Tamandua tetradactyla: one gene and its partner. The protein of the gene in region 1 interacts with the protein of each later gene in a pairwise test. Links are inferred from orthologs where the notes say so. Each region holds a gene or a part of one and is shown on either strand. Other genes may lie near its edges. The genes, in order: AAGAB and AP2S1.

Region 1 (13,016 bases):
GATTTGGTTTCTTCATCTGCCTTGTGCGAAAATAATACTTCTGTATAGAGCTTTGTGATGATGATATACATAGTACCAGCTGAATAAAAGGCAGCTAAAAAGAACTCCTAGCTCTACTACTTATGAGTCACATGATCTCCATGAATGGTATCCAAATTTTCTGAACCTTTAATTTCTTCATCAAGGATAAAAACCAAAATAATTACTCTACCTCTTAGAACTGACGAATGAAAATGAGGTAGTGCATGTGAAAATGAATGAATACAGGCTTTGGAATCAGGCAAATATTAACTGGTATCCTACTTCCTTCTTTACTAAATGATCTTGAGAAAGTTTACTGTGATGGTTTGGAGCTGTACGTAGGGCCCCCCGCCCCCCGCCCCATGTTCTTAAATTTAATCCATTCCTGTGGGTGTGTACCCACTATAAACAGGACCTTTTGATGAGGTTACTTCAATTGAGGTGTGGCCCAGCCCAATCAGGGTGGGTCTTAATCCTATTAATGGAGCCCTTTATAAGCAGAATGAAATTCAGACAGAGAGAGCAAGCCACAGAAGCAAGAAGCTAGAATTCAATGGAACCTGGAAGAGAACAGAGAGGCCAGGAGAGGCCACCATATGCATTGTCATGTGACAGAAGAGACAAGGACTAATGATTACCAGCAGTCAGCACCAGAACCCAGTCTTTGGGAAAAGAGCCTCCCCTTGATGACATCTCAATTTAGACTTTGATTTAGCTTCAAATCCATGGGCAAATAAATTCCCAGTGTTTAACCTGACCCATTTCCTGGTATTTGCTTGAGCAGCCTAAGGAACTAAACCAGTTACTTAGTCTCTTAGAGGCTTAGCTATCTCATCTGAAAATGAGGTTTTATTGATATCTACCTCAGTATGGTGGTAAGAATAAAATGAGTTAGAGTATGTAAAATGCTTATACAGTACTAGGAGGGCACTCCATAAATATTAAGTCTCTCCTGAATTGTAAACCCAGTGAACCTTCTTGCACAAAACTGGTGCTCAGTAAAGTGTTCACTGAACTGCTTCTTTAATCTTACTGAAGAACTTTTTACTTTACTTGCCAAATATTTCCTTCTCCCCCCTTAATAACCACCCATGTGCCTGCCTGTATAATTGCAATAAAGGCAAGTACTGTAGAAGATGTTTCACAAATTTTGGGTAGCAGAAGAGATCTTAAATTCTAAATCACTGTTCTTTCTTCAAATAGATTCAATCTATCATATTGAAATTTTACACATTACCCATCATCTCCGTGATCATTAAACACATGGCTTTCCGTATATTTCCTACTTGGAGGAAGATTATTTGACAGTTTGGGGACAGGGCTGCTTAATAAAGAATTGAAAGATTTAATGCAGCGAAGATATGCTCTAGAATTCAAAAGCACCATGAAAACAGGCTCCTTATTATTAGAAGCAGCCTCATAATTTCATTTTATTCTTTTCTGCTAAATATAGAGTTTGGTTGAGTCATTTTCATCACTTCTAATTATTTTTAGCTTCATTCGTTTTTATATTGTATGTTCCAGGCAAACCAGGCAGAGGGACTGATATCAAATTAAATTGTCAATGAGATCCAGTATTTCCACGGTTGGTATGAACCTATTACCTGGATTTTTTAAATAAGATTTCCAAACTAATCAATAAGCTAATTTTGATTGCAAGACTAGGTACTTCTTGTTGCACCAAAATATGTTTAATAGTTGGGACAAGCAAGCATTTGTAAAGTTATATTAAAAAAGATACCATATTATTACTAATGAAGAATAAACACAAAGCCTCTAAGAGCCACTAATAAAAGAAAGCACCTAGGAAACCTCCCTGGGACTACTATCACGTTTCTTCAAGATTGTTTTACATACATGCCATAACCTATTAAGGATCAACACACAGTGGTTGTATGACCTTGGGCAAGTTACTTTACCTCTTCTTTGCACCTTAGTTTTTTTTTCTATATATAGAGCTAAAAATAATTTCTGCATGATAGGATTGTTGTTAGGATTTAACGAGACAATCTAAAGCTCTCCGCACAGTGTCTGGCTCCTAATAAATGTTGGCTACTATTTTAATTATGATGATTATAACTATAATAAAACCTCACTCTTTCTAATTAGTAGAGAAAAGAGCTGGCTAAAATTGTAAAAAGTCTGATTTATAGACTTGAAAGTGATAGAAGTTAAGTAGTTAACAGAATGCTGCCTAGTAGAACTCTATATAAATAGGGTGATCACATTTTCTGAACCAAAAATGAAAACATGCACTGTGATACACTATCTGACAATGAGACAAAATATACACAATCAGAACTATCCTGGAAAATCCAAACATAAGGAACATATTTTCATAAGTCACAAAAAAGAGTTTATAATCAGAATACTGATTATTTGTATTTAAAGATTTTCTCTCAAGTATTTTAGATATTTTCTCAAAACATTGCTTTTACAGTTAATTTGTACCATCTATGAAAAAAAAGGTTTTCTAGATAATGGTAAATATCAGCATAGCTCCATTCATTTTTGAACCTAACATAAATTATTGAAGACTGAATTAATGAGTAGGTCATTATTCAACTATCCATTATCTATTGCCTAATCCTGTGCTGGAATAATGGGATATCCAAAAATCCAGCTTGTAATTAAGAAGGAAATAAGGCACACCTTGTTGCTAAATAACACCTACAAATAAAGTTCCACTTAAGAATGGAGTAATTCTAGTTAAAAAAGACAAGTAGAAATCAATTTTTCCTCATCTCCCAGAAATTTAGGAGTAAAATGCAGCCCTAACCTAAAAAAGACAGAGAACTACATAACATAAAAGGGCAAGAGACCAGACCTCACAGTTAACATTTATTGAGCATTATACTGTATATGTTAGCCTACATCTTAATCTTTACAAGATTCCTATGAGAGATTTAATATTATTATCTTCATTTATACTTGAGGGAACCTAAGGTTTAAAGGGGTTAAGTGCAAGTTAACATATTTGGCTACTTGGTAGAACTATCCAAATTCAGGTAGTCTGACTCTAGTACCTTCATGCTTAACCATTATGTTCTTTCTCAGAATAAAGACGTATTATGCTAATAAGCACCTCATATATAAAGTTAAATTGGTGAAAGTTTAGTGGAAAAGGCAGGGTTTAGATATTCAGTGTAGTGCAAAGCTGCAAGAGGAAATTTTCTTTTTATACCAGAATGATGAATTGAAAAGGGTTGAGAAGAATGCTTGCATTTTCTATGTACATTGGCCTACTCACAATACTCATGAAAGGCAGTGGATGAAAGCACAGAGTCTAGAGCCTTCTGCCTTGGGTCGGCTCCTTGGTCTACCATTTACTGGGTTACCCTGAATAAGTAACTTAATATCTCTGGTCAGTTTCCCTTCCATAACATGGGGATAATAATATTTCTTACTTAGGAATCTTGTTGTAAGGGTTAAATGAGTTTAAAGACATATAGCACTTAGGGGTGCATGGGTGGTCCAGTGTTAGAATGCTTGTCTTTCATGTGGGAGATCCAGGTTCCATTCCCAGACCATGCACCCCCACCCCCACCCCCCAAAATATATATAGCACTTAGGGTAGTGCATGATACATAGTAAATGCTATGTTAGCTTTATTATTACGTTTCTTTGAAATTGTATTGTGGATTATATTTTACAATTTGAAGTAATGGCTCTCAAACTTGAGCATGCTGCAGAATTAACTGAAGTGTTTATAAAAAAAGTTTGCTGGGCTCACCCTTGAAGTTTCTGATTCAGTAGGTCTGGGTTGGGGCCTGAGAACTTATACTTCTCACAAGTTCCCAGATGGTACTTATGATGCTGGCCTAGGGACCTCTTTGAGAACCACTGGTCTAAAGAGTTACTTACTGTCTATGATGAAACACAGACCTAATATACCACATTAGGGTGAAACAAATGGTGACAGAGTATTTTTTGCTTTATAGGCAATCATGTATATGTATACATATATATATATGCAACATTTCCACACATATTTATACGCAATCATGTATATATAATTATGCACACATAATTGCCAGAAACAATTTGATTGCCTAAGCTAACAATAAAGAGAGTGTACTTTACAATAAAGAGGAATCATGTAGCTTTGAGGAAACTGGGTCAATTTAGTCAGAAATGGAACTAATCCAAGCTATGTATTCTACAGAAGAGGAAACTGAGGCCCAGAGAGGTGAAGTGACTAGCCCAAAGTTATCCACCTGGGGGAATATTAGAGCCAGGGTGTGGTGGTTAGATTCAGTTGTCAACTTGGCCAGGTGAAGGCACCTAGTTCCGTTGTTGCGGACATGAGCCAATGGTACGTGAACCTCATCTGTTGCTGATTATATCTGCAGTCGGCTAGGAGGCGTGCCTGCTGCAATGAATGAGTTTGACTTAATTGGCTGGTGCTTAAATGAGAGAGCTCAACGTAGCACAGCCCAAGCAGCTCAGCATACCTCATCTCAGCACTTGCAGCTCAGCCCAGGCCTTTGGAGATGCAGAAAGAAATCACCCTGGGGAAAGTTGTTGAAACCCAGAGGCCTGGAGAGAAGGCCAGCAGAGATTATCCTGAGCCTTCCCACGTAAGAAAGAACCTTAGTTGAAAGTTATCTGCCTTACAAATTTCCTCATTATAAATATTATACATATTAACAAGGAGAATTTTATATTATATGCACAGTAAGCCTCAATCATGTTAACATATAGGCTCCCTTTCTCTAACTAGCAAGCGGGACTGCTGACTAGCAAGAACCTTGATTATTCTTAGCTCTTCTGATTCATTGTTCAATTCAGTGTCAACTCAAATTAGCAGGCTGATTAAATGATTCCCTCTGGATCCCACTTCGAGGTTAAAAGGCTTCTTTTTGGCTTTTCAGTTAACATTCTGTTCTACACTATACCAAATCACAATGGGAACAGTTTTGGGATATAGAATTATCAAGAGTAGGTGATAATTCGGCACAAGGAGGCTTTAGGAAGATTCTCCCCAGATTCTGAACAGTTTTTGGAGATCTCATAGGTCTGGAGAAACATAGGAAACTAAGGAGAAATGTGTTTCTGTAGACAGTATGAGGCATACTGTAGGGGAAGAACTGTTCTTTCTGGGTAGGAGTTGCCATTAATGTCTCAACTGTTCTGCGTTTGTAAAGACGGGCCCTAGATTTAGAGGGTGGGGAGTGAAAGAAAGGATGAAAAAGGATGAGATAAGATGTAGGTATGATTCATAATGGGGTTAAAATGGTTGAGTTTTGGGGCTTGTGTTTTGGAAAAGGTGAGTTTAGGAAAGTTTCTGCTAAATGGAAGGTAAGAGACCAAAATCCTGACATGAAGATCAATTAGACCATCGACGATCTGGGTGACTGTCCTGATAAAGTGACATTAGGCAAATCACATCAAGCCTTAGGCAAATAGAGCTAAATATGAGTTAAAAGTGATAATACGTTTAACAATTTTGTAATTATGATATATACCTGGGAAAACAGGTATATTTCAGAAAATGTTGCAAAATTGGGTTACACTGGAGAATTCAGGACTTTCTTGATATTTCCCCCTCAGTTTAGAAAAAAAATTTCCCTGAGTTTTAAAATTTATCACATTTCTATATTGAAAACGTTAGCTTGATTTTCAACGCAAGTTATCTTTAACGTATTCTCCTAAGTGTGTATTCCCAGGCATGGGACTCCCTCCAGATCCCCAAGCTGCCGGATTTGTGTCCTCCACCCCCGACGTCATGGGTGCAAATTTTTCAGAACATAACATTTTTAAATGGTACCGCAGAGCAAAATAGACTTTTCTGAAGTAAAATTTCCCAAGTGAGGGCGATGAAACGTGTGTTAGGTCTTACGAGTTTTACCAGAGCCTGAACTGTCGTGCTCTGTGGAGCGCAACCTCCAGGTTAAGGCAGGGCAGTGAAAGTGTGTGGGGAGGTGGGTGGGGAAGGGAGAGGGACGGCTGTGGCGAGTGTTGGGTCCTGAGCGAGATCTGGGTGAGCCTGTTTCGCAGTTCTCTGAGGGGTGGAGTCCCTCATTTGGTGGAAGGCAGTCTCAGTGCGGGCCCCGAAATGGGCTTGAGCGAGTGAATCGGCGCTGCTGGGCGTCGCTCGTAAGTGTTTAACTGGGCAGCGCTGAAGGAGGCCGGTTTCCCACCTGGATTAAGATGGATCCGATGGGGTCGTAATTTTCAGTCTCCTCTGCCATGGCTAAGGCTGGAGAGGATTACCCTTCTCGCGGAGGCGCAGTCTTCAGGCACTGCACCTTGTACTAGGGATGCTCATCCCCATGGCAACACCAAGCGCAGCCTGGCCTATACCACGCCGGGAGCGGAAGAGAGGGAGGAGGGGGGAGTCTGGGCAGCCGGTGAATTCCGAGAATGCGCTCTAGCTGGCGTGTCTCCCCCGCGCAGTGGCGGCCGTGGTGCAGTCCAAGGCGGAAGCGGCTCCCAGACGGAACCGGCTTGCAAAGCGCGGCGATGGCTGCGGGCGTCCCCTGTGCGCTTGTCACCAGCTGCTCCTCCACCTTCACTGGGGACCGTCTGGTTCAACGTGAGTAGCAAGGGAGTCGGACCCATCCCCAAGGTTCCTGAGCCTCGGCGGGCGAAAGTCCCAGGACCCGGCCTCTGCCTGGGCCTTGCCCCTCCACGGGCCTTGGGCCCTTTCTCCACCCAGTGCTGGCCCGACGCTTCCCGGGTCGAGGCCCCCAGCCACCCGCCGCCCCACATTAACTCTTAAGCTGGTTGCTTTTCTGCCCGTCCGGCCCACTACTGTATTACTTCCAGTTTCTTCTGTAAAGTGGAACTAATCCCCGCCCAGTCCTCTCCACCTCACCCCACCGGTTGATACAAAGATCTAGTGAGATAACCGAAAGGCACCCTGGAAGCTGTACTTGAGCGAGTATGAGGTGCAGGAATTTTGATACTGTAATTTTGACTGATGTTCCTATTCTTGAGATAGAGTATGTTTTCTCTGAATTTCATGTATGTTAAATTACTTGGCTACCATTTGATGTATATAAGACTTGTGAGTTTTGTCCTCTCTTCTCGGTAGTTATTCTCTGCTTTACCTTCCTTTTGAGGCATAGGCTCACTGCCAGTATTTTTTCAATTTTTTGTATGCCTGAGCCTAAGTCCTTTGCTTCTGGACCATCACAGTGACTGTCAAACTCAGTAACCTTTAAAAGAAACTCTAGACGAGGAGACAGTTGTAGAGAGAGCATGGGCCTGGGTCACAAGCTCGATTCTGCCATTAAAGAGCTTTGTGAAGTTGATTATAACTGAAGACACCTGTTTTACGCATATGGCTTTGTTTTAGAGCACTGGCTCTTAGCTGTGTGATACTGGGCAAGTCCTTAACCTCTATAGGCCTTTCAGTTTTCTTAACTGTAAAATGGGAATAATTAATCCAGTGGCTGGCACATGGTAAGCATTTGATTAATGGTAAGTCTATTATAGCACATTCCCTCTCTGATCCTTAGTAGGTGATGCAATATTTTTTGGAAGCCCTTTTTAAACTGTAGAGCATCATACAGCTATATATTTTTTCTGCACTCATCAAATGACAGAATTAGACATGATGTCCCTCCAGCACAAATATTCTGTGACTTAGTTATCATTTGTGATCACTTAGAAAGTTCCTTGCTAGGGTAAAAATTTAATTACAGTACTTACTGTTAACTAACCACTCTAATTGTAGATTTCCTTACCTCTGAACGGTGCTTCTATTTCTTTTTCTCTCCCCTCCCCCCTTTTTAAAACACTAGTGTTTCATTGTAAAATGATAGATAAAGTTTCACGTGGAGAAAAGAAATTGTAGTCTCATTACTTTTAGTCTCATTGCTCAAGAATAAATACTGTTGACATTTTCGTGCATTTCCTTCCTAATGCATAGTTTTCCTAATGTATAGTTTTTTTAAAAAAATTGCAGTTGCTTTTCATTTACAGTTTTTTCTTGATTTTCTCACTGAGCATTACATCATAAAGTTAGTTTCTATCATAAATTACACCTAGTGAACATACCTGAATTTGTTGAAGAGTCTTAAAACTCTTTATATATTTATATCTCCAAAACACTTATTTCCATTAAGTTCCCATATGCTATATGAAAATCCTGTCAATGTCAATCTCAGAAGCATGATGACCATGGTATTAGATCATATACTTTTAGGAGAACTGGCAGATATGGTCACTGCCTTGAAGGTGCTCATTATCTGCATTTGATGAATAGAAACATTATACATCTCTAAAGTATATTAGAATCATTAGAGGTACAATTAAAACTGTAAGATAATCCACTTTATTTTTGTCTTTCTTAGATAACTTGAAAGCCAACTCAGGTTAAACTTAGGTGATTTTTGCTTTGCTATTGTGTTAGTGCTCCATGGTAAAAAAAAAAAAAATAGAGCAATTAGTGAGCAGATTACTTGAGTAAGAAAAAGTGAACTTTGAAAGAGGGCTTTATGTGGTAGAATGCTCACCTGCCACATGGGAGACGCTGGCCCATGCACCCCCGCCCCCCCTTCAAAAAAAAAAGAGCTTTACCATTTCTTCCAAGGTTAAAGAATAGGGTAGAGGTGGAAAGCATTAGAACGAAGTATTTGTTGAGCATTCACTCTATGTTACCATCATTAAAGATTGAGTTAGATCACTCATTTGAATCTCATTTTGGGATAAAAGGTTTAGACTGACAAAGACTTCTATCGCTCCACCAGGCTATGGCCCTTCTCCTTGCATGCCCCTATCCACTCCCTCCCTGGCCCTGTCTCCCTTGAAACTAATATTGCAGCTCTGGGACACCGGGAGGGGTGGGGGTAAATAAAAGGGAAAAAACAAGTCAGATGCTAGCTATTTCATAGTTATCAACTTTAGTTGCTTCCCCCCACTTCCCCATCATGCGTTCTCTTCTCCAGGTGGCCTAATTATTACAAAAGAAAACATTCTAAGCTATGTGGTCCTAATTGAACCCTCAATAAATCACTTACCCCTCTCTCTCACTTCCATCCACCAACCCATTCCCTGCCCTTTAGGAACGTGCCATCCTTTGATTCAGCAGTTGAGTTCCATTCTCCCCTACCATAGTAACTATGAATCAAGTCATCCATGACTGTTTCAGTGTCCAGTTCAGTTTTTTCTTTGGCAAGAAGACCATAATGAATGCTTTTTTTCAAGTATTTAGTTATAGTAAGTCATAGTATGGGTTTGGGTTGAATCATATCTACCTTTTTGAATAGGTTTGGTTTCTTTCCATACAGCAGGAAGAGGAACCTTCAGGGTTCCTCCAGTTTCTATTTTCTTCTAATGCCTGATATATTTTGCTGCTTTTAATTTCCCAATAATGGGAAATATTGCACAATCAGATAACCAAGTTCGTTAGAAATATATGTGTAAAATAAAAATCAGTAGATTGCTATCTAAGGATAAAGTGCCTACATGGACTTTGTGAGAAACCTTTTTATTCTCTTTAGGGGAAAAAAAGAAGGCCCCACTCAAAGACCTTGTTTGCAGTATTCTGGTTGGATGTCTGACATTAGATAAAAGGAACATTATTAACTTATAATGTAGACTTTCAAAGGAAAATGAAAAGATTAACCCCTAAAAGAAGGTTTTAAAATATGCCCACTTCATATCCTTTTCAGAATGATTAAAATCTTAATTCTGATTGGAGAGAAAAAAGTTCAGCCCAGAGAACCTGCATTTTTTTTTAACATTTTTTATTGTGGAATAGAACATGTATAACAAAAAAGCAGTACATTTCAAAGTATGTTTTAATAAGTAGTTATAGAACAGATTTCAAAGTTTGTTATGGGTTACAGTTCCATAATTCCAGGTTTTTCCTTCTAGCTGCTCCAAGGCACTGGAGACTAAAAAATATCAATGTAATGATTCAGCAGTCATACTTACATGTTAAATCCCAACTTCTCTGTTGTAACGCCTCTTTCTCCTTTGATTCTTTTCCCAGTCTCTAGGACTATTTGGGTTATGCCCATTCTAACTTTGTGTTGAAAAGGGGTATTGACAGTATGGGGTAGGGGGATGGAACAGCTTGATGTTCTTGGAGAGAATGGCACCTCTGTGTTTCAGAACTTTTCTGGCCTTGGAACCATCTCAAAGTTTTAGGTCTCTGAAAAGTAAAATTAGTGTTTGCAACTTTTGTAGAATTGCAGATAGAGCCCTGGGAGTTCTTTAGGAACAGGAATGATATTGGTTGGGGTTTGGCAAACCATGGCAATTTAGCAATATCTAGCTGAAGCTTCCATGTGAATAGACTCCAGAATAGCCTCTTAACTCTATTTGATATCTCTTAGCCACTGATACCTTATTTTGTTATGTTTGTTTTCCCTCTTTTGGTTATAGAACCTGTATTTATAAAAGAGCATTATGCATACCTGATAGTATTTAACAATGTTTGGATTTTTATTTTCTCAATTGAGTGCCCTCAACATAGAGATATTATTAGTCACTCCTACTCTGTATTATTAATGTTTTGACTGCTGTAACCAAAGGAAAAAATACATCCTTTCCAACATCCCTTCCAGATCTAAAATTCTGAATTATAGTGTTAATTACTTATTATGTTATATAATGCTTCTTAACTTTACCGTGGCATTCTTAATTTTTTAAAAACTTATTTTATTTTTTAACTTTGTTTTGTGACACATGCAACTCAAAATTTCCCATTTTAACCACTTTTAAGTGTAATTCAGTAGTAGTATTTACATTCACAATATTATGCTGCCATCACCAGTATTCATTACCACAAAGTTTTCACTACTTCAAACAGAGACTGCATCCATTAAGAATAACTTCTTCCCCCACCCTCTCCCACTGGTAATTTATAATCTACTGTTTGACTCTGTGAAATTTACTTCTTCTCGGTGTTTCATATAAATGAGATCACATAGTATTTATCTTTATGTGTCTGCTTATTTCACTCAATGTGATGTCTGCAAGGTTCATCCATGTTGTAGCATGCATCAGAACTTCATTTTTGTGGCTAAATAATATTCCATTATGTTCTAGTTTGCTAGCTGCCGGAATGCAGTATACCAGAAATGGAATGGCTTTTAAAAAGGGGAATTTAATAGGTTGTTAGTTTACAGTTCTAAGGCTGAGAAAATGCCCCAATTAAAGCAAGTCTGTAGAAATGTCCAATCAAAAACCATCCAGGGGAAGATACCTTGGTTCAAGAAGGCCGATGAAGTTCAGGGTTTCCCTCTCAAGTGACTGTGGCACATGGTGAACACAGTCACGATTTCTCTTTCAGCTGGAAGGGCACATGGCAAGCACGGCGTCATCTGCTAGCTTCTTTTCCTGGCTTCCTGTTTCATGAAGCTCCCTGGGAGGCATTTTCCTTCTTCATGTCAGAAGTCTGCTGGCTAGTGGGCTCTCTGCTTCTCGTGGCTATGTCGTTCTTCTCTGGTTCTCTCTGAATCTCTCTCGTTCTCCACAATGTTTCCTCTTTTATAGGACTCCGGAAATTTATCAAGACCCACCCAAATGGGTGGAGACATGTCATCACCTAATCCAGCTTAACAACCACTCTTGATTAAATCACATCTCCAGGGAGATGATCTAATTAGTTTCAAGCATATAGTATTGAATAGAGATTATTCTGCCTTTGTGAAATGGGATTTAGATTAAAAACATGGCTTTTCTAGAGGATATACATCCTTTCAAACCAGCACACATTGTGTGAAGATAAAACGTTTTGTTTATCCATTCCTCCATTAATGGGCACTTAGCTGTATCTACCTTTTGGCTGTTGTGAATAATGCTACTATAAACATTGATATACAAGTATCTGTTCAAGTCCTTGCTTTCACTTCCTTTGGATATATACAAGAAGTATATATTCTTGTATATACTTCTTTCCAGGGCATGTGGTAATTTTATTTTCAATTTTCTAAACAATCACCAAACTGATTTCTACTATGGTTACACCATCCTACAGTGCCACCAGCAATGTGTAAAACTTCCTATTTCTCTCATATTTTCACCAATGCTTATTATTTTCTGCTTTCTAAATACTAACCATCCTAGTGGGTATGAAGTGGTATCTCATGATTTTGATCTGCATTTCCCTCATGACTAGTGATGTTGAGCATTTTTTCATGTGCTTGTTGTCCATTTGTATATCTTCTTTAGAGAAATCAAATCTTTTTGCCTATTTTAAATTGGGTGATTTGTCTTTTTGTTGTTGAATTTTAAGAGTTCTTTATATACACTGCATAGTAAACCCTTAACAGATATGTGATCCGCAGTTATTTTCTCCCATTCTGTAGGATGTATTTTTTTAAACTTTTTAAATTGTAAAATATAGCATACATACAAAGCAAAGAGAGAAAAAAAGCAATAATTTTCAAAGCACAGTTCAACAAGTAGTGCACAATGGATCCCAAGTTTGTCATGGGCTACCATTCTATCTTCTCAGATTTTCCCTTCTATCTCCTCTAAAACACTGGAGACTAGAAGGAATATTAATATAGTGATTCAGCAGCCATACTTGTTTGTTAAATCCTGTTTTCTTTGTCATACCTCATTCTCCTAATCTGTAGGGGTTTCGGGCAATGCCTGTTCTAAGTTTTTCAGTTGAGGAGGGGTGTCCAAAATAAAGGACAAAGGGATGTAATTAACTGATCATCCTGGAGAGGCTGGTCTCTCTGAGATTTGGAATTTATCTGAACTAGGAACCCTTCAGGAATTATATGTTCCAGGAAGGCAAATTTAGTCCATGAAACCTTTATAGGGTTTCAGTTTGAGCCCTAGGCATTTTTAAAAGTCAACAGGAGTAATGTTGATTGGGGTTTAGCAAACCATGGCAATTAGCAATATCTAACTGAAGCTTGCATAGAAACAGTCTTCAGAATAGCCTCATTTTTTTCAAAAACTTTTTTTTATTGTGAAGTATAACATATATACAAAAAAGGAATAAATTTTCAAGTACATTTTAGCAAGTAGTTATACAACAGATTTTAAGGTTTGTTATGGGTTACCGTTCCACTATTTTT
Region 2 (12,530 bases), on another chromosome or scaffold:
TACCATACAATGGGGTGGCTCAACCAATGGGAATTTATTGGCTCATGGTTTTGAAGCTAAGAGAAGTCCAAAATCGAGGTGTCAGCAAGGCGATGCTTTCTCTCCATAGGCTGTGGCATTTTGGGGCTAACTACCAATGATCCTTGGTCCTTGGCTTTTCTGTCACATGGCAGTGCACATGATGGCATCTTCTCTTTTTCCTTCTGCATTTACATTCTCTTGGCCTCTGGACTTCTCCTGTGGCTTTTCTTTCCATGCCCAATTTCCGTTGCTTGTAAAGACTTAACCCATATTGGATTAAGTCCCACCCTCATTAAATTTGGACATATCTTGTTCTAGTTTGCTAGCTGCCGGACTGCAATATACCAGAAACAGAATAGCTTTTTAAAAAGGGAATTTAATATGTTGCAAGCTTACAGTTCTAAGGCTGAGAAAATGTTTCAGTTAAAACAAGCCTATAGAAATGTCCAATCTAAGGCATCCAGGGAAAGATACCTTGGTTCAAGAAGGACAATGAATATGTAGAATGGAATGATTTCTAAGTGTTGTGTTAGTTAATTTTTTTTTAATTAATTAAAAAAAAATGAAGGACGATGAAGTTCAGGGTTTCTTTCTCAAGTGGAAAGGCACATGGTGAACACAGTCAAGAGTTCCTCTCTCATCTGGAAGGGCACGTAGTGAACACGGCATCATCTGCTGGCTTCTTCTCCTGGCTTCCTGCTTCATGAAGCTCCCCGGGAGGCATTTTCCTTCTTCATCTCCAAAGGTCACTGGCTGGTGAACTCTGCTTCTCATGGCTATGTCGTTCTGCTCTGCTCTATCTGAATCACTCTCATTCTCCAAAATGTTTCCTTTTTTATAGGACATCAAAAACTAATCAAGACCCACCCGAATGGGTGGAGACATGTCTTCACCTAATCCATCTTAACAACTACTCTTGATTAAATCACATCTCCAGGGAGATGATCTGGTTACAGTTTCAAACATACAGTATTGAATAGGGATTAGGAGAAACATTGTCAGTTTATATACGCAAACATTGGCTATTCTAATGGGTGTGTAGTGGCATTTCACTGTGGTTTTAATTTGCCTTTCCAAAATGTTTAATGAAGTTGAGCATCTATTCATATATATTGTTCTAGTTTGCTAGCTGCCAGAATTCAATATACCAGAAACGGTCTTTAGAAAATGGGATTAGGATTAAAACATGGATTTTCTAGAGTACATACATCATTTCAAACCAGCACACACCTTAACCAACATCATCTTCAAAAACGTGTTTACAAATGGATTCGCACCCGCAGGACTAGAGGTTGGAACCTAAGTATGACTTTTGTGGGGGACATGACTCAACAGTGAGCATTTGGGTTACTTTTTTTTTTTTTTTTTTTTTTGGCTATATGAATAGTGCTGCTCTGAAAAGTCTAGAACATGTCTTTTGGTAAATGTATGTATGTATTTCTCCTACCTAAAATTGAAATCGCTGGCCATAGGAAATGAACATCGCCTTGCCCAAACAGCTTTCCAAAGAGGATGTACCAATTTATAGTTCCAACAGTCATATATGAGAATTTCAGCTGCTCCACATTTTCCCAAATACTTAACATTGTCAATTTATATACGCAAACATTGACCATTCTAATGGGTGTGTAGTGGCATTTCACTGTGGTTTTAATTTGCCTTTCCAAAATGTTTAATGAAGTTGAGCATCTATTCATATATATTGTTCTAGTTTGCTAGCTGCCAGAATTCAATATACCAGAAACGGAATGGCTTTTAAAAAGATTCTTTTAAAAAATAATTTAATGAGTTGCTAGTTTACAGCTCTAAGGCCAAGAAAATATCCCAATTAAAACAAGTCTATGGACTTGTCCAATCAAAGGCATCCAGGGAAAGATACCTTGGTTCAAGAAGGCCGATGAAGCTAAGGGTTTCTCTCTCATCCAAGAAGGCACATGGTGAACACAGTCACGGTTTCTCCCTTGGCTGGAAGGGCACATGGCGAGCACAGCATCATCTGCTAGCTTTCTCTTCTGGCTTCCTGTTTCATGAAGCTCCCCGGGAGGCATTTTCCTTCTTCATCTCCAAAGGTTGCTGGCTGGTGGACTCTGCTTCTCGTGGCTCTGTCGTTCTGCTCTGCTCTCTCTGAATCGCTTTCATTCTCCAAAATGTTTCCTCTTTTATAGGACTCCAGAAACTTATCAAGACCCACCCAAATGGGTGGAAACATGTCGTCACCTAATCCAGCATAACAACCACTCTTGATTAAATCACATCTCCAGGGAGATGATCTGATTACAGTTTCAAACATAAAGTATTGAATAGGGATTATTCTACCTTTATTAAATGGGATTTTGATGAAAACATGACTTTTCTAGGAGACATACATCCTTTCAAACCAGCACACACATATATATATATTAGCCATTTGTTCTAGTTTGCTAGCTGCCAGAATGCAATATACCAGAAACAGAACGGCTTTTAAAAGGAGAAATTTAATAAGTTGCAAGTTTACAGTTTTTTAGGCCATGGAAATGTCCAAATTAAAGCAAATCTATAGAAATATCTAATCTAAGGTATCCAGGGAAAGATACCTTGGTTCAAGAAGGCTGGTGTCATTCAGGGTTTCTCTCTCAACTGCGAAGGCATATGGCGAACATGGTGATGTCTGCTGGCCTTCTCTCCAGGCCTCTTGCTTCATGAAGCTCCCCAGGAGGCGTTCTCTTCCTTCATCTCCAAAGATCGCTGTCTGGTGGACTCTGTGTGGTTTTCGTGGCTCTGCTGTCATTCTAGTGGATCTCCCATCTCTCTGTGGTGGTTCTGAGGCTTTCTCCTCATTCTCAAACGGAACTCTCTCCAAAATGTCTCCTCTTTTATAAAATTCCAGTAAACTAATCAAGACCCACATAGAATGGGTGGAAACACGTCTCCATCTAATCAAGTTTAACACCCACAATTGATTGAGTCACATCTCCGTGGAGATAACCTAATCAAACCTCCAACCTATAGTCCTGAATAGGGGTTAGAAGAAACCGTTGAATCCACAAGATTGATTAGGATGAAAACATGGCTTTTCTAGAGTACATAAATCCTTTCAAACCAGCACACCATTTAAACTGTCTCTTTTGTGAAGTGCCTGTTCAAACCTTTTGCCCAATTTTTCTATCATATTAGATTTTCTTTTCTTTTTAATTACACAATGCATGAATTTGTCCTTGTAAAAATTTAAAATACCCCAGCTAAGATTCAGGTTCCTTAGACAACCCACCCCAATCTCACTTGCCTCTCCAGAGGTGTGTTTTCTTCCAAACCTCTCTCACTACATTTAGACACATACAGTATAGCATAGTGGCTAGAGGCATGGACTCTGGAGCTGGAATGCTTGGGCTTGAATCCCAGCTCCACCATTATGATCTGTGTAATCTTGGTTAAGGTACCCAACTTCTCTCTACCTCACTTTCCTCATCTGTAACATGGGACACCATGTGCCCCTGCTCTAAGAAGGACTCCACATCACTTCTGTGATATTCATGCCAAAAATGTTAACCTGAATCTATTTATTGAAAAACATCAGACAAATTCTAATTGCAAAGCCACTGACCCAAACACTTCAAAATGTGAATGTCTTAAATGACTATTTGAGATTAAAGGAGACTAAAGGAACACGATGACTAAATGCAACCCCTGACCTTGAATTGCATTTTGGAGCAAAAACAAAATCTACAGGGGATGTTACTGGAAAAATCAGGGGTTTTTTTTCCAGTAACATCCCCTGTTTACTAGGTAATGGTAGAGTAGTAAGGTTAAATTTTCTGAATGCGATTATTGTATTTTGGCGATGGAGGAGAATGTCCTTGTTCTTAGGAAGAATATGTTGAAGCATGAAGGCTTTGGGGTGAAGTATGAAGGTACCTGCCACTAACTAAAAAATAATTTAAATGGTGAAGGAGAGTAAATCTGGCAAAATGTTAATGATTGGCAAGTCTAAGTGAAGTATATATTGGAGTTTATTGTACTGATATTGCAGCTTTTTTGGTGAGTAGGATTTCTTTCAAAATACAAAGTTGGAGAGATAAATAAAAAGAAAAACCAAGTAGTATAATGTGACAGTATCATTGTGCACCTCCCATTGCTTTAACATGTCTTGGGGATGATCCATGTCAATGCATGAAAATCTAGCTGATTTATCTTGTTTTAAAAAAAATTGTATTGAAATATCTTCATGAACCATACAGTGCATCCAAACTATAAAAGCAATGGATCATAATATCATCACATAGTTGTGTATTCATTGCCATGATCATTTTTAGAACATTTGAATCACTCCAGAAAAATAAATAAAAAGAAATATATATATATATCCCATACCCCTTACCTCTCCCTCTCATTGACCCACTACTATTGCAGTCTACTCAATTTTTCACCCCTTATCCTCTCCCTATTCTTTATTTTTTTGTCACTTTTTAAAAATTCATCTCTTCATACCCTGGATAAAAGAAGCATCAGCCACAAGGTTTTCACAATCACATGGTCACGTTGTAAAAGCTATAGTCATACAATCGTCTTCAAGAATCAAGGCTACTGGAACACAGCTCAACAGTTTCAGGTATTTCCCACTAGCCACTCCAATACATCATAAACTAAAAAGGGGTATCTGTATAATGCATAAGAATAACCAGGATAACCTCTAGGCTCAGTTTGAAATCTCTCAGCTACTGAAACTTCATTTTGTCTTTTCTCTCCCCTTCTTTGGTCAAGAAGATTTTCTCAATCCCATGATGCCAGATCCCAAACTCATCCCCCAGAATCATGTCCCATGTTGTCAGGGAGAGTTATAGCCCTGGAAGTCATGTCCCATGTAGGGGGTGGGGCAGTGAGTTCACCTGCCGAGTTAGCTTAGAGGCCACATCTGTGGCTTATTCATTTTAACAGCTGTGTAATACTTTGTTATGTGACTGAATCCTGGAATAGGTGACTTCTCTCCTATTGATACATGTTTCATCTGTTCTCATTTTTTTTTCTACAATAGTAATGGCCATGACCAAGAAAAGAATTTTCCCAGGGACCATTCTAAAGTAGAAGAGTTGGGACTGATACTTCTTGTCTGTCTATGGCATCTAACCTCAGACTCCAAGCCACTCAGATCATGAGGACAGAGATGAAGTCTGCTTGATATTCTACCCACATTTCTTCTCCTGCTTGAATCCTCTGTCCCCTCCCCTCAGTAATCTACTGATCCTTCTTCCGAGGGGGACTTCTGGGATGAGATCATAAAAGACATTTCAACTTCCACCTTGCCCTCTCTTGAGTCCTTCATTTCGGGGGGAAATAGCTGCCATGTGAAGATGCTCACATGTATTTATGGAGAGATCCACTTGGTGAGCAGCTGAGGCCTCCTGCTAATGGCCACACTAGTGTGCAGGCCAGCAAGTGAGCTGTTTGGGAAGCAGATCGTCCATCCCCAATCAAGCCTTCAGATGACCACAGCCCTGGCCAACTTGCTGACTGCAACCTCATGAAAGACATCAGGCCAAGACCACTAGCTAAGCTGCTCCTTAATTCCTGACTCACAGAAACTCTGGGAGACACTAAATGTTTATTGTGGTTTTGTGCCACTAAGTGTTTGGGAATTCATTACACAACCACAGAGAACCAATACAACACTCAAAGTATCCTGTAGTTTTTCATCACAGGATTGTTATTTCTTATCTATTTGTGTAACATCATTTAAACCTATGCCCCATTGCTAGGCCATGAATGCTTTCACAGCGGGATCAGTACCTGTTTTCTTGCTGCCGGTTCGTTCTTCCATTCATTCATTCATTCATTCAGCAAATGCCAAGTGCTACCTATGCTGGGCATTAAGATGAGTCCTGGAGATCAAGACCAGAACGAATGTGAGGCAAATTTAGTGCCCAGGGAACACGATTTAAGGAAGCACTCACTTTCATCCTCATGCAAGGGCTGAGTGGACACCTCAGAGTGAGCGCCTTTTAACTTTTCTCATTTTTTGTGCATGAGTGATTTTTTAATTTGACACCCTGGGTGCCTTACTTGGTTCACCCTAGTCCAGCCCTGTTGGTAATGGAGCAGTGCAAAAGTCAGAATAATCTCTGGGCTCTGTTTGCCCTTGTGTTGAATAGCCACTCATGTGTTTGTTCTTCTGTCAATATCACATTTTCAACTTACATACTTTGATAATATGGTGATTATTATTAGGGAAATTATGCTCTTGTTACTAATTCTAATTATTTTATTGGGTGCTTACTATGTGCTGACAATCTTCTAGGTGATAAAGATAACAGTTAACAGACAGGAGCCCTACTCTCAGCGAGCTCACCACCTCACCTCATGGGGGATCTAGACGACATACACACACAGACAAATAAAATCATTAATAGTTGTAATTACAGCTATAAAGAAACCAAACTAACAGCTAATCTAGAGAGAAATGGAGGGAGAGAGCTTTTTTCTTTGAAATATATAGGTACTCATTTACTAACAATCAACTTTTAATATCTAGGATTATAACAGTAACATTAAGTATGTTCCTGAAAGTTACAAGCTAAACAATGAAAAACTCTAAAATTAGAAATCAGGGTCCTGCACCCCTTCTCAACTTGAAAAAGTCAGAAGAGGCATCCCCCCCAAAATCTCTATAGATTGGGAGAAGGCTTAAAGGAGACATTAGGAGGTACAACAGAGAAAATGGGATTTCACAAATAAGTATGACTGCTGAATCCCTATATTAGTATTCCTTCTAGCCTCCAGTGTTTGGGAGCAGCTAGAAGGAAAAATCTGAAATGGTGGAATGGTAGCCCATGACAAACTCTGGGATCTGTTTTGTAACTACTTGTTTAAATGAGCTTTCAAAATTATTGCTTTTTTCTTGCTTTGCTTTATATATAGACATATATTTCAAATAAAAATAAAAATTCAGGGTCTTATATGTAGGTTTGCAGAGGTGGTAATTCCAGGCCAGCCATGGAAACTATGGGGGAAGGCGCTCCAGGGAACAGCAAGTGCAAAGGCACTGAGGTGAGAAGGCACTTGCATATTGGAATCACTGAAAGAAGACTAGTGTACCCCTGGCTAGGGAGTGAATGAGAAAACCCTATCACATGACATCGCTTAACAGTGAACATTCATAACGTTAAAGCATTTTACTTGAGCACTTTTTATGTGGCGGGCACTGTGTTAACTTTGGAATCTTTTCGAAGCTTTAAAACCACCCGACCAAGACAGATATTATGATAATCCCTGTTTCCCAAATGAAGACTTGAGATTGGAGAGGTGAAATCCCTGGCCAAAAGTCACCAAGGCTAGTGCGAGGGCAAGATTTCCACACAATTCTGACTCTCAAATTCACTCTCTTAAGCCACTGACCATCTCTTACAGGGAAACCTTCCACATATTTAAAACAAAGCACTGCGTGAGCCCAGAAAGACACTTTCTCGTTTCCTACCACAAATTTCTTATTCAAAACGTGTGGGAGGGGAAGGGGAGCTCTGCCTTAACTACATTTCCCAGAAGGCAACACTCACTACGATGGTTGTCATCCATGTCGGGAATTGTAGTCCTCTGAGGAAATGTTCCCCCAGAACTCTCCCCATGCAGCAGGGAAGTGGGTAAAGGACAGTCGCGCAGCATGCTGGGAAGAGGACCAGGCTCTTTCCCCACATAGCTTGCGTACGGATGTACAAACGCTTTCGTGGAACTACAACTCCCAGAGGGCCGTGCGCGAGAGGGCGAGGCGGGTCTTTTACCGGAAGTCCGCTCTGCCCTGGGCCCCCGACAGCAGCCAGAGCCGGAGCCACCCAGTCGCCACGGGATCTGGGCCACTGGGGTCCGGACGGGGGTCGCCATGGTAACGGGGCGTGCCCACGCCGGGGACTGGCGGAGGGGGGTCAGCGTGCAGACACCTGGGCGCTAACAAAGCCCCCAGCCACGGCACGATGGTCTGGGCCCGGCGCGGGCTCGCAGGGTTGGGGCTGATCTAGGATCGAGAAAGGAGGGACAGGGTCGTGATTCTGCACGCGGGGGTGGGCCAGGGTCCCGAAGCGAGGGGGCATTGGAGACGGGAAGGGTATGGCAAGGGAAGAGGGCAATACAGGTGGGAGACATCGGAGGCGGTTGAGGGTGTTTAAAACTGGAGAGGTAACTCTCGAGGAAGGGTCTCGGGAGTAGGCAGACGGCTCTGGAAGTGGGGAGCGGGCGTCTCAGAAGGAGGGCTCTCCAGGGAGGAGTTAGGAGCGTTGGGGAAGAAGGGGAGACATTGAAACAGGGCAGGGGGGAGGGCAAGAGAGAGCAAGCCGGCCTTGCAGGCTAGGAAATGGAGTTGAAACTGGGGCAGGACACTGCAGATGGAGGGAGATAATCTCCAGGGGAAGGGACTGGATGCTAGAGGCCAGAAGTAAGGCACTGCAGGGAATGGGGCTTTAAATAAATCAGGGAAAGTATGCTGCAAAAAGGAGAGTGAGTGAATACTAGAAATAAATGGAGGTGCATTGGGGCAGGGCTTTCCAAGAGATGGGTTCTTTGTGGATAGGAAGTAGATGTACTCTTGGAGCAAGGACTGAGCATTGGATTTGTGGAGGGGGCTTTGGAACAGGAGAAAGGGCCTCTGGACAGGGAGTTAGGAAAAGAGATGAATGGAGGAAGGGGTCAGAACAGGATGTGTGTGTGGTGGGGTGAGTCTCCCCAAGGAAGTAGTACCTTGAAGGCAGGATGGTGCCTGTTAGAACAGGAGAGGAGTTGAGTCAGAGGAGGGATGTCTCAATGAAAGGACCAATTGAGGTCAGAGAGGGGGAATTGAACATGAAAAAATAAAGGTCAAAAGGGAATGTCTCAGGCAGGCCACGGTGGCTCAGCAGGCAAGAATGCTTGTCTGCCATGCCAGAGGACCCGGGTTCGATTCCCGGTGCCTACCCATGTAAAAAAAAAAAAAAAGGGAATGTCTCCAGGGAAGATGGAAAGGTTGGGGGTCATTCAGAGGGATGAGGGTACAGGAGGGAGGGGGTGTCTCAGAGTAGATTTCCAGAGGTGGAGAGATTCTAGCTGGGAGGAGAAACAGGGAAAAGGTATATGAGAGCACTTAGGGGTGACAGGCAGAGCCCTCCCTCAGCTCTGTAGGCCTGCTTCTAGCACCTCTGGCTCTGTCCCCAGGCTGTGGCTGCCTGGTGTGGATCCTGCTCTCCCACCCCCATGCCCATATACTCCTTCCTGCCCTGCCAGGAAGTGGTTTTCCTTGGTTCAGCAGAAGAGGTTCTTGGAAGTAAAGTGTAATATCCTGTTCCCTTCCAGCTTGATTGGTTAGGGGAGGAGAGGTAGAGCATATGGAGAAAGAGATTTAAGAAAGAGGCTGAGACTCCAAGTAAAAGATGGAGGCTCTACAAAGCATGTTAAAAGGGTTCAGAGCAAAGCTCTGCTTTCTGCCTTTGGAGACTTCCTTTCCTTGTGCCTTGGATTCCTCACCTATGAAATGGGCATAAGCATGCCTGTCTCAACCAGAAGTGAGCCCAAAGGCAGGCTTCCGAGCTGGGTGAGTTTGGGCCCTGGTTTTTCTCAAAGCCAAATAATGATGAATTATAATACTAATAAAAACTAATACTTACATGACATTTAACAAGTGCTAGTCCTATACTACACCCCTTATGTTTATTAACTCGTGCAGCAGTCCTGTGAGGGAGTTATTCTTATTGTGTCCATTATACCGAAAGAGCAAACTGAGGCCCCTAGAGGTTAAGTGACTTAACCAGGGTTACACATCTCACTAGCAGTGAATGCTGGGACTCATTCTGGCTCCGCTATGTGTGCATTTAGCCATTTGGCTCAAATGCGTCCCGGTCATAATACTGGCTCATTTTACTGAGCACTTTTGGCATTAGCTCATTGATTTTTTACAGCAGCCTATGTGGGTTGACCTGGCCTTGCAGTAGTGTCATAACAAATTTTCTCTCGTCAGAACAGATGAGAATTACAGCTGACACTGAGCACTTACTCTCAGCCTTGAATCAGGTGCTGAGTGCTTCTCACCTCTTGTTTCCTTATCACATCCTTATGAGAATCTATTTTCCAGATGAATAAACAAAGGCACTAAGCAGTTAAGGTACTTAAAAAATGGCAGATACTTTGGAAAACAGTTTAGCAGTTCCTAAAAAAAGTTGATCAGCTTTACCAGTGGCTTAGCAATTCCACTTCTTGGGTCTATAGCCCAAGAATTGAAAGCCGGTGTTCAAATAAAAGCTTGTATACAAACGTGCATAGCAGGACTATTCACAACAGCCCCAAAGTGGAAACAACTAAATGCCCATCAACAAATGAGTGGGACAAACAAGTTGTGGTATGGATGGCCGTGCGATGGGATTTTGTTCTCCCATAGCGAGGAAGGAGTGTCAATACAAGCCACCACATGGCTGAACCTCAGAAACATCATTGTGATGTAAAAAAAAAAAAAAGCCAGGCACAGAGATCACTTAGTATGTGTTTCCATTTACCTGCAATGTCCAGGATAGGCAAATCCATAGAGTCAGAGAGCAGATTTGTGGTTACTGACGGTTGCGGGTGGAAGCGGAGGGCAAGCTGGGGGATTTCTCTTTGGAGTGATGAAAACGTTCTTAGAATTAGATAGTGGTGCTTTTTGCACAACTCTTTGGATATGCTGAATTGTATACACTTTAAATGGGTGAATTTTATGGTGTATGAATTATATCTCAATTTTTTTTAAATTAGTAAGGGGGAAAAAAGTGGCTGAGCCAGGACTCAGACACTTATTGAGTGCCTGCAGTGTGGCAGACACTGAATTAAGTTTATAAACATTTAACCCTCAAAACAGCCTGACAAGGAAGGTCTTCTTAGGAAATGCATTTTGTAGGCGAGGAAACTGAGGCTTAGAGGGATAGGGCCCTTGTCCAAGTTCCCGCAGATGAGAGGTGGTAAAGACTGATTCTAGCGGCTTCCTCTCTACTAGGTGGAAGAGAAGTCACTCCCTGGGTGTTGGCAGGACTGGGGATGAAAGGGGAGGCCAGACCCCCGGAAGGGCAAGCACAGAGCAGCAGAGAGGGGGGACCCCTTCTTCCCTGTGTGGGTGGGGCAGCTGGTGTGCCCTGCCTGGCCCGTGCCCTCCTTCCTGCCCTCCCTGCCCTGCCACCCGCCTGCCTCTCACTTCCTCCTTCTGTCCCCAGATCCGCTTCATCCTCATCCAGAACCGGGCGGGCAAGACGCGCTTGGCCAAGTGGTACATGCAATTTGATGACGATGAGAAACAGAAGCTGATCGAGGAGGTGCATGCAGTGGTCACCGTCCGAGATGCCAAACACACCAACTTTGTGGAGGTGACGGACCCCCCTGCACACACACACACACCTGCCCCCGACCCCTTCCTTCCCTGCCTGCTGCCCTCCCACTGATGGCAATCACCCTTCAGACCCTCCTCCTTTCCTACACTCATGCATGCGATGCATTTTGACTTTTAGCTTTCTCTCCTTTCTTTTCTTTTTACTTTTCACTGTGAGCATTTGCAAGCGTATAGATGACTATAATGAGTGAAAAGTTGGTTGAGGATGAATATACCTGCCACGGATCTAATTGGTATTATTTTGCCATCTGCTCTACCTTTTTCAGTTTTCGCTAAAGGATTTTTTTCCTGGTCCCCTTTTAACCCTTATTATAGAAATTTTCAAACACCTGAAAGGAGATGGAAAAGAGTAGTGGACCTCCAAGTGCCCATCCCCCTTGCTAAAGCATTTTGAATTAAATTACACACACCCTAATGTTTCTCCCCTTAGTATGTCCAGTTGTATCTGAAAAAATGAAAGCATTTGCTTACGTTGCCACAGTGCTATTATCGTACTGGAAATATTAATAATAATTTCTTATCATTGCTATCATGCCCAATCAATATTTAAATTTCCCCCAATTTTCCCAAATGAGTTTTTAAAAATGATTTGTTCAACTCTTGTTCAACTCTAGTAGAAAATCTTGCCTTGCTTTTGATTGCTGAGTCTCCTTGCTATGTCTAAAGCTATGTCTTTACCTTTTCGTTCTCACAACATTAACCAGAGCAAGCAGACTGTCCTGCAGAATTCGACAAATATTTTTCCAGGGTCTACTGTGGGCCAGGCACTGCAGATACAGCGGTGGCCAAGACAGACGAAGTTCCCAGCCCTCGGGTTGCTGTCATTCTAGATGGGGGGTGACACTTAAGCGTATGGTGTCTCGGGTAGTGACGAACACCAAGGAGGAAACTAAGCAGCCACAGGAGTGAGTCGTGCTGGGGCATGCGTGCCATGGAGTGGAGGGCAGTTTAAATATTTTGGTTGGAGAAGGTCTCAGTGAAAAGGTGATTCCAAGACCTGGAATCGAAGAGAGCAAAAGGAGCTGCTCTATGAGGGAACATTTCGAGCCAAGGGGGCAGCACGTGTGAAGGTCCTGAGGCAGGGACATACCCCGGGCATTCTAGGAAAAGCAAGAAGTCCAAATGTCTGAGGTGGAGTAAGCCAGGGAAAGGGTGGGAGGAGATAAAGTCAAAG

The links.
Region 2: the proteins of AAGAB (region 1) and AP2S1 interact in binary tests that used the Homo sapiens proteins (3 or more experiments, as listed by UniProt). The link is inferred for Tamandua tetradactyla from reciprocal best matches to the Homo sapiens genes AAGAB and AP2S1.

What each region holds. Positions count from the first base shown.
Region 1 is NC_135340.1:84,518,539-84,531,554, reverse strand, and holds the start of AAGAB (alpha- and gamma-adaptin-binding protein p34), read left to right. Parts: upstream 1-6,448; 5' UTR 6,449-6,486; coding exon 6,487-6,559; intron 6,560-13,016. Other genes in the region: IQCH (IQ domain-containing protein H), read right to left, coding at 6,165-6,215. UniProt on the Homo sapiens protein: May be involved in endocytic recycling of growth factor receptors such as EGFR.
Region 2 is NC_135342.1:14,397,232-14,409,761, forward strand, and holds the start of AP2S1 (AP-2 complex subunit sigma), read left to right. Parts: upstream 1-7,689; 5' UTR 7,690-7,864; coding exon 7,865-7,867; intron 7,868-11,183; coding exon 11,184-11,333; intron 11,334-12,530. UniProt on the Homo sapiens protein: Component of the adaptor protein complex 2 (AP-2). Adaptor protein complexes function in protein transport via transport vesicles in different membrane traffic pathways.